Linked DNA regions of Drosophila melanogaster. The protein of the gene in region 1 interacts with the protein of each later gene in a pairwise test. Each region holds a gene or a part of one and is shown on either strand. Other genes may lie near its edges.

The links. The genes of interacting proteins can lie anywhere in the genome.
Region 2: the proteins of CG14860 (region 1) and Ndf interact in a two-hybrid assay, tested with the Drosophila melanogaster proteins (one large-scale study listed by BioGRID).

What each region holds. Positions count from the first base shown.
Region 1 is NT_033777.3:14,892,838-14,897,742, reverse strand, and holds CG14860 (uncharacterized protein), read right to left. Parts: upstream 2,960-4,905; 5' UTR 2,909-2,959; coding exon 2,671-2,908; intron 2,611-2,670; coding exon 2,057-2,610; 3' UTR 2,020-2,056; coding exon of another isoform or gene 1,353-2,019; 3' UTR 1,297-1,352; downstream 1-1,296. Other genes in the region: Nup93-2 (nucleoporin 93kD-2), read left to right, coding at 1-1,290, 1,353-2,019; Dph2 (diphthamide biosynthesis 2), read left to right, coding at 3,874-4,035, 4,089-4,905.
Region 2 is NT_033779.5:10,001,945-10,009,936, reverse strand, and holds Ndf (Nucleosome-destabilizing factor), read right to left. Parts: upstream 6,106-7,992; 5' UTR 5,891-6,105; coding exon 5,811-5,890; intron 5,628-5,810; exon of another isoform or gene 5,403-5,627; coding exon 5,366-5,402; exon of another isoform or gene 4,894-5,365; intron 4,514-4,893; coding exon 4,431-4,513; intron 4,370-4,430; coding exon 3,520-4,369; intron 3,463-3,519; coding exon 3,352-3,462; intron 3,030-3,351; coding exon 2,759-3,029; intron 2,686-2,758; coding exon 2,596-2,685; intron 2,524-2,595; coding exon 2,434-2,523; intron 2,371-2,433; coding exon 2,171-2,370; 3' UTR 1,048-2,170; downstream 1-1,047. UniProt on the Drosophila melanogaster protein: Nucleosome-destabilizing factor that is recruited to genes during transcriptional activation and colocalizes with a subset of trimethylated 'Lys-36' histone H3 (H3K36me3)-enriched regions. Binds DNA (in vitro).

The sequences.
Region 1 (4,905 bases):
GTCACAGAACTTTATCGACCTACAACGGCTGCCGGAACCCACCATCGTAAATCCGCTTTGTCAGCCACGTTCCTGCCTCGATCCGCTGGAACTAGTGTATGCGCAAGAGTTGCGGCATTACAATGAACTGCTGCTTAAGAGCAGCCATCGACCCAATCTCGTCCAAAAGTTCGCTCATCTGTCCCAGAGCTTCGGAGATTGCCGGCTTACGGACATGTGGACCCTGCTGGCTTGCGTCACCCAAATCAGCGAGCCGCTGCGCAGTGACCCCATCAAGAGCCGACAGCAAAGACCGGAGTTTGTTACCTATGCTAAATCGTACCTAGAACGGCGCTATCGTGTGTTCATGTGCTCCCAAGTCGGTGGATCCTATGCCAACAACAGCTATCAGTTGGTTGTGGCCTATGTAAACCACCGGTTCAGAGCACAGCAGACCATCGGACTTGTGGACACCGTCCGCGAAATACCCTTATGGCCGCTGGTTTACTACGGATTGCGCTGCGGAGCGGTTAAGGTGGCGGTTGAGTTCCTGCGCGAAGCGGGCAGTAGCCACGATGAGTTTGCCCAGCTCGTTGCAGATCGCAATGCCGGCGAAACCAATTCCAAAATAGAAAACCAACTGCGACTGCAGTACGCCAACAAAATACGCAACTCCACCGATGCCTATAAGAAGGCCGTTTACTGCATCCTTTTGGGCTGCGATGTCAATGAAGTACACGGAGAAGTGGCCAAGACCATAGACGACTTCCTTTGGATGCGGCTGGCCATGATACAGCCCGGTGACGCTGACAACTATGGTAAACTGCAGTCAATGATTTTGGAACAGTATGGTGAAAAGTACTTCAATGCTAGGCAGCAGCCGTATCTCTACTTCGAGACCCTTGCATTAACCGGCCAGTTTGAAGCCGCCATCGAGTTCCTGGCGCGCCAAGATGAAAATCGGGCACATGCAGTTCACATGGCCATAGCGCTGTTTGAGCTAGGACTTCTAGGCAGTGCGCGCAGTGTGTCGCAGCCCCTGCTTTCGATCGATATTAAAGATCCGCAGCCACTGAGGCGCTTGAACCTAACTCGGCTTATCCGACAGTATGTGCAGCGATTTGAGCGGACAGACACCTCGGAGGCGCTGCATTACTACTACACACTGCGCTGTCTGAAGGATTCCAAGGGCCGGAACATGTTTATGGCCTGTGTGTGCGATCTTGTGGTGGACAGCGGAGTCTTTGATACCACCATTTTCGATCTGATATTCGGCAAGCGGCAGTCGAGTGACCAAAACGATGTTAACAGGTGATTATATGCAATGTTACATTTATTCAGTCAGTCTAAAGTCTAGTCTCTTGTGTTTTTAGTGGACTCTTCCGCCAGTTCGAATGCCCGGAGTTCGACACGCGCACCATGGCCGCTCAGGTGGGCGACGAACTGGCTGCGCTGGGTAACTTTGAGATGTCGGCGCGGCTGTACGAAATGGCGGGCAAGTACAACCTGGCCGTGAAGCACATCTGCATTCTGATGGCCCAGGTGGTGCACCTGCCCACGCTAGGTGGATCGTTAAGGGAACGCCTTGGCCAAGACGCTCAGAGATTCAACCAGCTGCTGGCTAGCGACAGCATCGATGTGGAACCCAAGATGAAGAGCAGCTTTGTGCTGCTGCAGGATCTGCTTATCTTCTTCAACTTCTATCATGACGGAAAATTTAATGCAGCGTTGGATCTGCTCAGGCAAACCCAGTTGGTGCCCAATACGTTGGACGATGTCGATGTTGTACTGGGCAATGTGAAGCAACTTAGCGGCGAGGTAATCAAGGTCCTGCCCGACGTTATAGTGGCCGCCATGGAGATCGCCCAGAAGCAGTACAAGCAGCTGAAGGCAGGATCAGGCAGCTCGCTGGAACAGACCCAGATGCAGCAACTCCGGCAGCGAGCCAAAGCCCTGTCCAACATGGCAGCAACTATGCCGTATCGCCTGCCCAACGACACGAACAAGCGACTGATTGAACTCGAACTGGATATGCACTAAAATAAATATACTTTAAGGGATAAAGGGAAGCAATAGTCTACTTCATTAGCATGAATATGTGCTCCTCCTCCTCCCCCTCCTCATCATCATCACTGTCTGTCTCCTCTTGCCTTCTTTCCTCAAGTTGCTGAATGCGAAGATGAGCTGCTGCCAATTGCTGTTGGAGATCAAGGCAATTGGCGCATGGATTATTATGAGGCTTACTCTCCTTAAAGCTTTCCTCGTCAATGCCAGAATCCTCGCTCTTGAAACTGATATTACTTCTATTAGCACATGATTTCATACTTTTGATGCTCTTTCCGAGGGGATCCTCCTCCTCCGTTCCTAAGTGGAACTCTGGAATGGCGTCCTTTCTAAGGTTTCCCTTGTTTGGCAGATAAGTCCGGCGAAAGTGTCTGCCGCAAATAAACAGCCACTTGTTGTCCACCGTAAGCCGACATATTTCCATCCATGCCTTGCGCATTTCGGGATTCGAGGGAAAGAAGTGCAGTCGTTCTGGAGGAGATCGTGAGGAGCAGTTCCTGACGCTGCATCTGCGAATGAAGGAGTTCCTGCTTGGCTTACTGACCTGGTGCACTACCTCTTTTGTATCTAAATCATGAAGAGAACAGGTTTAGGAAGCTATCTAGGAGGCTGCTTCGATACACTTACTCAAGAAAAGTGTGGGAACTGCCCAGGAAAACACCTTGGTCTTGCCAAAACATTGTGTCTCAAAGTGCCGCCTACACACCCGACTATTGAACAAGTTAATATCTTTTATGTCCGCAATATTATCCAACCACTTCTGCCGGACAACCGGATTTATGGGGAACTTGTACATGGAGCTACTATCCTGTTGACCACTCTTATAACAATCGGTTACGATGCAGCGAAGGTTTTGGTTTTTCATATTTTTGGACTGCTAATATAGTTTGGTGAAATGTTGGTAGGTGAAATGGAGAAAGCAACAAGTGTTGGTAGGCGCGTGAAACTTAAATTTGGGTCAAGATCAGTGACTGGACGTTGGTCAAAAGAGGGGGTACCTGAATGTCTTCTTTAGTAAGCTTTTTATTGTATCGGGGAAAACATTACAGGACTTAGGTTTATAAACTTTTTGAATTTTTAAATTGTTTATTGCGCTTCAACAGAAATTAATTCAAACGAGCAAGCGAACTTTTGTGGTCACGCAGTATTCGGGGTTGAGTCTTCGGTAAGTCTGTCCTCCAACCAAATTAGCAAGAACACTGATCACGTGATACACTTTCATTAAAGAAATTATAATTTGCAAAATCGTCGATTTTTAAGATATGAATCTCTACTAAGGTCAATGAGTTTTTTTATATTCCTGAATATAAGGTTTTTGCTTTACTTAATATAATTTATAAATAACTCAGATATGCATTATTTTTCTTCAGGTTAATTGAATTAAATAGTTTACATGTTAATTTATAATTTTAGGAATAAGCAACAATGTTTTAAATGAAAACACTTTAAATACTATCAGGCATTCTGGTTTTTATTTAATTTAAATTAAACCAAAACTGGTTTAAAATAAAATTAACTATTCTGATTTTTATATTTTTATTTACTAACAGATGATTTAAATTGGGATCTAGCATTTGAATAGGAACTTTTAGCGACTTCGGTTTTTTGTACTTTAATTTATATATTTATTTATTACAATATATCCGTTCTCTAATATAACTAATATACACTTCGTGAGTGTATAACAAAGTTGCGTTTCGTTTCTCTTTGTCCGTTTCAATTTCTAATCCAGTCTAATGCATCGGTGTTATCTTGACTTTGTTTATTTTGCTGCATGCATTTGATACTTTTTTACTGGACAAAGGAATCTTGAGTAGAAAGTGATTTGAAATGACCTCGTCCGAAACATCAGCATCGGCTTTCTCGAGCTCGGACACAGCCGCCCTGGAGCGTCAGGCGGAAGTGGAGCAGCCGGTGACCTTGGAACAGATCTGGAACGAAAACCACCGGCGATCGAGCGTAGATTGGATTCGCAAAAGTGGTTACAAAAGGGTGTGTTTATCGGCTACGCTTTTGGAATTACCGTCTAAAGCGTATTCTTCTAGGTTTGCCTGCAATTCCCAGACGACTATCTGCCCCACAGCAATGCAATTAGTGTGGGCCTGAAGGAGCTACTTGCGCCGGAGGACGTGAAAGTCTTCATCCTGGCGGACACCACATACGGAAGCTGCTGCGTGGACGAGATTGCGGCTGCCCATGTGGATGCAGACAGTGTGATTCACTTCGGAAACGCATGTCGCAGTAGGGCCGCCCGCCTGCCGGTACTTTACCTTTATCCAGAGTTGCCGCTGGATGTGAATGTTCTCCTGAGCAAGCTGCAAGGTCTGCGCGCGGAGAGCATAGATCGACAGGTATGCGTGTACCTGGACATTGGGTACCAGCATGTGTACGGGGAAAAGCTAAAGAAGCAGCTGTCCGAGATCCTGGAGCCCAAAGAACTGCTGCTGGAACTGTTTCCGCCCATCGAGGCAGAATCAACGACAACTAGGGAGACCACGAACCTTGAGAGGATTTGTATTTTCATAGGCGCCGATAACCAGCGATTCGCTAATCTCTCTCTGACCGCTCCAGCTGCCGTGCAATGGCACATCTACGATGGATCATCTGACAGTCTCAGCTCAAAAAATCCCCTCACGGCTCAGTTCATCCGCCGTCGCTACTTCCACATCGAAAAGTGTAAGGATGCACAAACACTGGGACTCATTGTGGCCACTCTTTCGGCTGAAGGTTACTTAGATGTGGTGACGCGACTGCAAACAATGGCGAAGGGCAGAGGCATTAAGACGCAGCTTATTTCCGTGGGCAGGATTAACCCAGCCAAACTCGCTAACTTCCTGGAAATCGATTGTTTTGTCCTGATCG
Region 2 (7,992 bases), on another chromosome or scaffold:
TAGACCCCAAAACTTAATTGACTGAAAAATAAAAAAGAAAAGGTAGAACTCAAATTCCAGATACAGCTAAATACGCAGCGAAGACATTTTCCATAAAGCTAATTATAGACCTTTTGCGGGCGGGGGGCATCCCACGGGGGTTTCTCCAAAGAGCAGCGCAACCTGCACTGAACTTGCCCCCCACAAATAATATTAAAATATTGAATGACCCATCTGAACTCGCAATTCAGCGTTTTGTTTCTTTTCGAGTCAATTTTACTTTTTTTCTGCATGCACACGTTTTTTTTCTCCTTTTTTATCAAAACAAAAAACAAACACTTTCGGCATGTCAATTGGACTGTGGCACCCACACACGCGCAGCCCCTTTAGAAGGATCTAATTGGAAACAGTTAGCACTTACATCCTTGCGGCGACGGGCTCGCTTCTTTTCCGACATTTTCTAGCAAGTGTGACGATCTGCGGGCTCAAAATTGATTCTTTCAATAATTTTGATAATAATTCTGCCACACACGCACCACATAAACATCCACGATAGGGATGGAACAAAAGTCGATGTTCACGCGATGCTATCGATGTTTCCAGCAACTCCGTGAAGCGATTATTTCCTATCGCTGGAACCACTAAAAATGGGAACTAGTTGTTTTTGAATTATTTTAATGTTTCATATTCATAGGTTAAAAGGATCATTTAGCAACAAAAAAATATGAAATCAATATTTTTAGAAGGTATTGAATTTTCTTAACTAATTTTATGATTATACAAATAATAAAATTGTGTCGCGAAGAAAACCTCCCATTTCCTTTACGGTAATAAAAAACAATACAAAATAAGTAAAAATATACCTTTCATACTAATCGAAAAGGTTAACCAAGTTGTATATAACTTTAATATTATGAAATTCTCCCAAAACACACATTTCTTTAATGTATGTCAATTTAAATAAAGTTTAAATTGCACTTACATTTTAATACTGTATTATCCAAAATATATATGAACCATATCAAGCAAAACGTGAATATTGCAATGCGAACTCAATTTAATTTCCTTACATCCTCTATTAAAATTATCTTTTTATTAATCTTTGTTTTACAACAAAATACAGACTAAATAATAAGTAAAATATATTATTTATTATATATTCTTATTATTATTATTAATAGCGACCCACGCAAAGGGTTCGATCAAAGTTTACTCTATTTTGTTTTCTTCCGGTTGTTGTGTAGTTTACGTTTTCGTATCGTTTGCGTATCGGTTGTGGTGCGTTCTGTACCGTTTTTTCCGTTTTAGGTTGTGTCTCGTTTGTTGCAGTGACAGATGATGGGGAGAGATGGCTAAAACTAAACCAATCTATCGTTACCGTCACTCCAAATATGTTTGCCATTCTACGCAGTATGATCGATTAGCCTACTATTTACTCATAGAAAAAAAGGGGATTTTAAATGTATACAATTTTAGGACTGGAGTAAATGCACAAAAAGTGGGAGGCTGGGAGGTTGGATCGACACACATTGGAGGGTTCCATACTTCGCTCGGTTTCTCAAAATCGGCGTTGTCTTTCACAAGTATGCTTTGTACATTTTATTCGGATGCAGTATTCTATACACTTACAAGTTATGTATGGACATGCGTAAAAATGATATTTGGAAAGCAAAACCTTACACATATAAAATCGGAAACACGGCGCCCTGGCCTCCTCCCTCCTCTCTGGGGATTGCGTTTCACCCGTCAAAGAATAAAATACAAAAAAACTCTAAACTTGATTGAAGTGATCCCGGAAAGATTGTGCTCTTCATCCGCCAGCTGTTGAACACACTCACCCAAGCGCTCTTCAGTGGCTCCTGCGTTGAAAGCAGGACGACACGGTTCTGCGATTCCCGGCGAATCGTAGACATATTGCATTAAACGCTTTGCATATGGGGCGATTGGGGAAGATGCAGAAGGTTGGGGTGGTGGCGCTGCCAATCACAAGGGCAGGAGAACTCCTTGTGAACGAACGCCTCTGTCAGTTTGGATTGGTGGGTGAATAAGTGAGGGTTATGCGTTTCTATTACTGTCCTGTTTAGTTTTTTTTTTTTAAGTCAGTCGTTTGTCGGTTCTGTCGTTCTGTTCGGTGTACGCTTTAAACTAATTGATAAAACATAGTTTAAACGTTAGTCGTGTTAACTAAATGTTAAAATCTGGATCTTACGAATACGGCGCTCGAGTCGTGTTCACTGTAGCCCAAGCGCTTGGTGTGCTTGAACACCTCGTTGGTGATGCTGGTGACGGGCATGGACTGGTCCAGGTTCTCAGCCATGTTTAACACCAAGCGCAAGTCGCGTTGCATGTGGCTCAAAGGCTGCTGGGGATTGAAGTCACCCTTGGCCATTTCTGCAAAGGAATTCAAAATAGGATAAGATAAACACTAGGAAATAGCCACGGTGCTATCCATACCTTTGCCCTTAGCCAGCAGCATGGGTGATTTCATTGAAGTCAAATCGAAAATGTCTATGATGTCGTTCAGAGAGATCGAGAACCGATCAGCTGCAAAAGCAATAAAAAAAAAGATCAATTAGTTAAGGCTGCTTACTGCTAACAATATACAATAAAACCTACCAAGTGCTAACGCCTCAGCCAACCCGACCAGACTCACTCCCAAGATGGTTTGCAAAATTAGGTTTACTTTGCAGGCGTTACCGATATCTGCTAGATGTGAACAAACGACATATTTTAATAAATTGTTTCAAAGGAAATGGTCAGCAGTGCAGGCTGTACTTACTCCCCAAGAAGAAGGTGTTCTTGGCAATGGTCTTGAAGCACGAGTGGCACTCCTCGAACACTGAACGATCTCCACCGGCGAGAATGATGAGCATGCCTTCGGCAGCCTCCTGCCGAGAGCCGTGAATTTGTGCCTCAAGATAGCGACCGTTGCACTGCTTGATGCCCTCGCCAATGTCCAACGATGTGTCCGGATCAATTGTAGACATTTCAACGTAGGCCTTATTGTTCAAGTCCTTCAACTGCAGAACGCCGCAGTTGCCAAATACGAGCTAAACATCGAATAAAACGAATGCATAAATAAGAAGAATGTTAAATTACGCCATCCCTCCCAGTTGCACAATTATTTTGTATTCTAATATATTTTAATTTTATACAGTGTAAGGAAGATCGCTTTGCAAAGAGAGCGTCAGAAAATCGTCATTTTAAACTGCGTGCTTTCATTCATATGTACTTTTTAAGTTAACAAGCGCGGATGAGTCATTTGAATTTTATAGGAACCCCAAGGCCAAAATTTAAGTTTTGTTAACCACGTTGTGTTTTAGGCATTTCCCAAATTAAATATGTATATAAATGAAACCTTTTATGACTTACATCCTTGGCGCCCTTTGGATCGGACACACAGCAAAAGATAACGTCGGCAGCTTCCACAACATCCATGGGAGTGTCCTTAACCTCAGCGCCGGCTTCGGCAAACGGTTGGCACTACAAAACGAGATTGTTGTAGGATTCATGTGTGAACTTGCTATCGTAAAACTTTACCTTGTCAATGGTGCGGTTCCAGACCACAACCTTGTGACCCGTGTAGATCAAATCCTTGACTATGGTGGATCCCATCATTCCAAGACCCAGGAAGCCGAAGGTCTGCTCTGAAGGCACGATATCGCGATCGGCCAGTGTGTTGGAGCGCGAGCTCATGTCGATGACTTGGGCCTCTGGCCGCGTGACAACCGGTCGGTCAAGCAGAGCAATTGCATTCGGTGCACGCTTGGCAGCGATTGAGGCCAAGAGTGCGTCAGTCTCGACCCGACGTCTGCCAGTGGGCGTGGAGCTGGCTTCATCCGCGTCCTGCAATGCCTCCCCGGAAACATCACGCTTGCCTCGCTTGGCATTCGATGGCCCACTGGGCGACTGTTGGGCAGAGGTACGCCGTTTCTGTGCTGATTTTGCCGATCCCTTTGTCGACTTGACCGATGTAGCGGCCACGGACTTTGCTTTCGGCGTCCGCTTGCCAGCTGCCTTCGTTGTGACCGCCGGCGACGTGACTGGTGACGCTGATGAATCTGCATTGATTTCCACATCCAAGCCATCGCCCTCATCGGGGCTGCCCACCACATGGGCCACCACTCCATTGTTGCCATCGGCAGTTGCTTCCTCTCCCACAATCTCCTCGCTGTCCAGGCCATCCCGGATCTTGTCAAAATCAGCCTCGGTTGCGTGATTCGGCGCACCGCAGCTTTTGTTCACCTGCTCGTCCACCTCGGCGGGGTCGTCGATGTACTTTTCGATATCCGTCATGGCGTGTCGGAAAGCAGCGGGCTTGCTCACCTTGGCCAGTTCCTCCTTCCACGGTCCTTCGAAGGGCTTGATGTTGTTCTCCTCAATCCAGGCACTGTTAAATATTACCCATGTTATTACAGGCGCTTTTTGGGGTTGGCGTGCATTTTACTTACAAATTCCTAGATCCAAAGAAAAACACGCATTTGGTATTCGCCCGACGCTGCTGGCTGAGCAGATCAAGTGGAGGATCGACAATCTAAGGAGAGAAATCAACATTAGCTTCCACCACATCATATCTTTAAAGTCTTCAGAAACATTTTAAGCAGACAATGCATTTTACTCTATAAGGATGTGCCTATGAATTCCCTCGAACTAATCTATTCTGTGATAACCCATTTACAAGACTTTATCACGCACGAAACAAAACATATGCAAATGTTGCTTTTTCACTTCCAATTTCAATCGAAAACCACTCTTTAACTTTACATTTGAGCTAGGAATTATAAGGATTTAAAAATATATCCTCATTTTTCTAGCAACTTGCACAAAACCAATTTGATTTGATAAAACCTTAGCTGAGGTGATTCACTATCATTAGCACATTTCACAAAACTCTAAAGAACCGATTGGTATATCACAAGATTACCGATGAGAATGTTAATGTCAAATAAAAGTTAATATATTAACAAAACTCCTTTTGAACGGCATAGAATAACGAAACTGGGAACTGATATCCTTGGCAACGTCTGTGTTCAAACTCCACGCCTGCCGCGCGTCACTCCCCCTCCTCCGAGTGCACATGCTGCTTTCCAGCGGCTGTACACACGATCAAAAGCTGCTGCTCGTGGCCCCCGATAGCGGCTCCATGGAAGAGACCATTTCCTCCGCCGGCAGCGACAACAGCACAGCGGCAACAACAACAACCACAACGGCAATGGGGCAATGTGTGCAAGTGCGTGGCTGCGGGCAGAGCGGCGGCAGCGAAGCCGGCAGCGTTGAATCGAAAAGTACAGTCGAAAACAAACACAACAACATGGCAGCAGAGAAGGCGGCAGCGACGCGACGTCGACGCGGCGTAAACATTCCGATCGCCAACTGCAATGCTTACCATTCCTGGCCACGGAGTGAAGCCCTTCATTTTGGCCCTGCAAAGAAAATGCGCTATCAGAACAGGGAAAACTCATATTGGCCGCAAGGAGGAAAAGCAAGAAAAAAGGGCGCGCGCGCGAAAAAAGCGCCAACGCAGCGAAGTCGACGTCGCGCGCCCGGAATCCACGCACGTAGCTCCGGAATTATGGTCGTCATTCGGATGGAGCTACATGGATACTGCGCTGCGTGGCTGTCAAAAAGGCAGCGCTAATTGCTTTTTTATGCACACTTCACTGGCTCTTTTTTTCTTCATATTTTTTTTTCCGAGCGCCAACGGTGCGCAATTGAGGTTAGGTGTTTGCTTTGATTTTCATCTCTCGTTTTTTTTTTTTTCTTGTTTCTTCACGGCGCAGCGCAGCTGAGAATACAGCGAATATATTGATGAGTCCACGGTCCCGGCTTACCATATCAGATCCTTGGGTTTGTAAATAAATTTCTCCGTCGTATCGCCGCCCGACAGCGACAGTTTTTTATTCTTCGACATTATGTTGTCCAGGCGTATGTTGAACTTGGTTATTTTGCTGGCTTGGGCGGACGGTGCACGGAAGCTAATGGGTTTCTCGGATCGGAGCACAAATCTCGGCGTCGGGATTCAATGAATTTCGGAGATATTCGCTTGCAGGCCACCCGTATTTTTCTTTTTTTTTTCGCGTTGTGTGTGTGATGCGCTGCCGAACCGATATCTGCTCGAGCAATGCGATAGCAGGCGGGCGCCATTTTGGCTGGCAATCGGCCAGTGCTGGAAAGTGGCGGCGTTGCTACGTCATGCAATCGGACTGCCAACCCGCCTCGAACTCGGTAAATTAATATGGGTTCCGAATTAAATTATTTAATTAAGTATTACAAGTGAATATTATTATCGTGATTCAATGCAAATTCGTAAAATGCACTTGGAATCAATCCATGCTTTTTATACGCTAAATTTTTTTTTAAATACTTTATTTAATTCTAATGTTTAGATGTTAAATACAAAGGCGGGCATAAACTATTGAAATTTAATTCCATAAGAAAATAATTTCATTGATACACATTTTTAGTTGGAGATTATTAATAAATTTTGTTTTTTGGCTTATACAAATTCCGTTTAAGTAAAATAATGATAAAGATAAATTTAATTAGTATTGCACAGTAAATTCTTTATAATCTGTGCGATCTTGAGCTCGGAAAACTAACAGTTAACTACAAGTCCGTCCCCTTAGCCGAAAAATAAATTACCACACGTCCAACTCAATTTTTCTCTGATTCTCAGCACTCAGCATCAGCCATATAATCCTCATAAATATGAAACAATCATATAAAAAGAGAATAAAAAGCGATTGCTGCTGTGGTTGTGGGTTGCGGGGGGTCATGCGACAACCCTGCTCGGTAAAACTTTTCGGGTGACCTGGCAAACAAAAGGGTGAAAAAGGGAAATTGCGGCCGTTAAAGGGGTATTGTATTTGTGCTAGGAAAAGAAAGCGTGCTTTTGGGTTGAATTATTGCATTTTGTTTGGCAATTAGCAGGCGCGAAATGGGTGAGAAGGATTTATTGGGACCAGATTGCCATCAATTATAAGGGAAAAAACGTACATATGTTTCTCTAGTTTTGATCGCATACTCGCTAGCAAAAAAAAAGGGTTTAAGTACATTCATTTGTTTGTGTGTTTCAATTTGAGTTGGGGAGAAATTAAAGTTTTTTTTTTTAAATTCCGATCTGACCATTCCGATAAAAGTTGATATCGAGCTTATCTTAAAGCTTAAAACATCGATTAATTTGGAAGGCAAGAATTAGTTTCCTGCTCTTCTTCATTCTAGCTGTGCAAAAAAAGTCGGTTCCGTTGACCAATAATAGCAAATATTTATTATTCTTACTCAAGTATAATAGATTTATATGTGAACTATTGGTCGTAACTTAACTTTTTTCTGACTTCCAGACGAAAGTGTCTTGAATCTCAAGTTCCGTTCTTGTTTACGATCTTCCAATTGTGCTGACACTTTGAAAATAGCCGCTTCTCTGTTTACAAGTGGGTATGTACATGTATGCGTGTGTGAGCATGTTGTTTGGAATTGGTTGGAATATTGGAAATGATTGCCAATGGAATTCAGTCGGTTTCGCGCATATTGAAAGTTGGAACGTAGGATTTTAGTAATATGTATTTATTTCTAACTAAAATTATGTTTGCTAATTTACATTTGATTTGACTTTCAGAAAATATTGGACTGGATTGCATTTTGGATTGAAGACCCTTAACTTGGTATATTATTGTAAACATAATATAAAATTGTACGTAATACTATTAAAATATCTTTGCAGCTGTTCAACTGAGGCGATGTACAACGGCGCTACATCCAATTCCGATTCGAGTGAGTAGATTCCAAGTGATCCGATTATCATATTATTTTCCTGCATTATCCTTGATTTTTTTTTATGAAAACCACTCACTTTATCAAGGGATAATTTGGGGTGGATCGTATCGATCCAATTGCTTAGACAATTAATACCCTATTCACTTGCGCACATGTTAAAGGAACTCAAATAATGCAGAGCATTTACTTATTTAGAGGCCTTAGAGAACATCTCGGGCAATTAAAGTGTTGATAGAACAA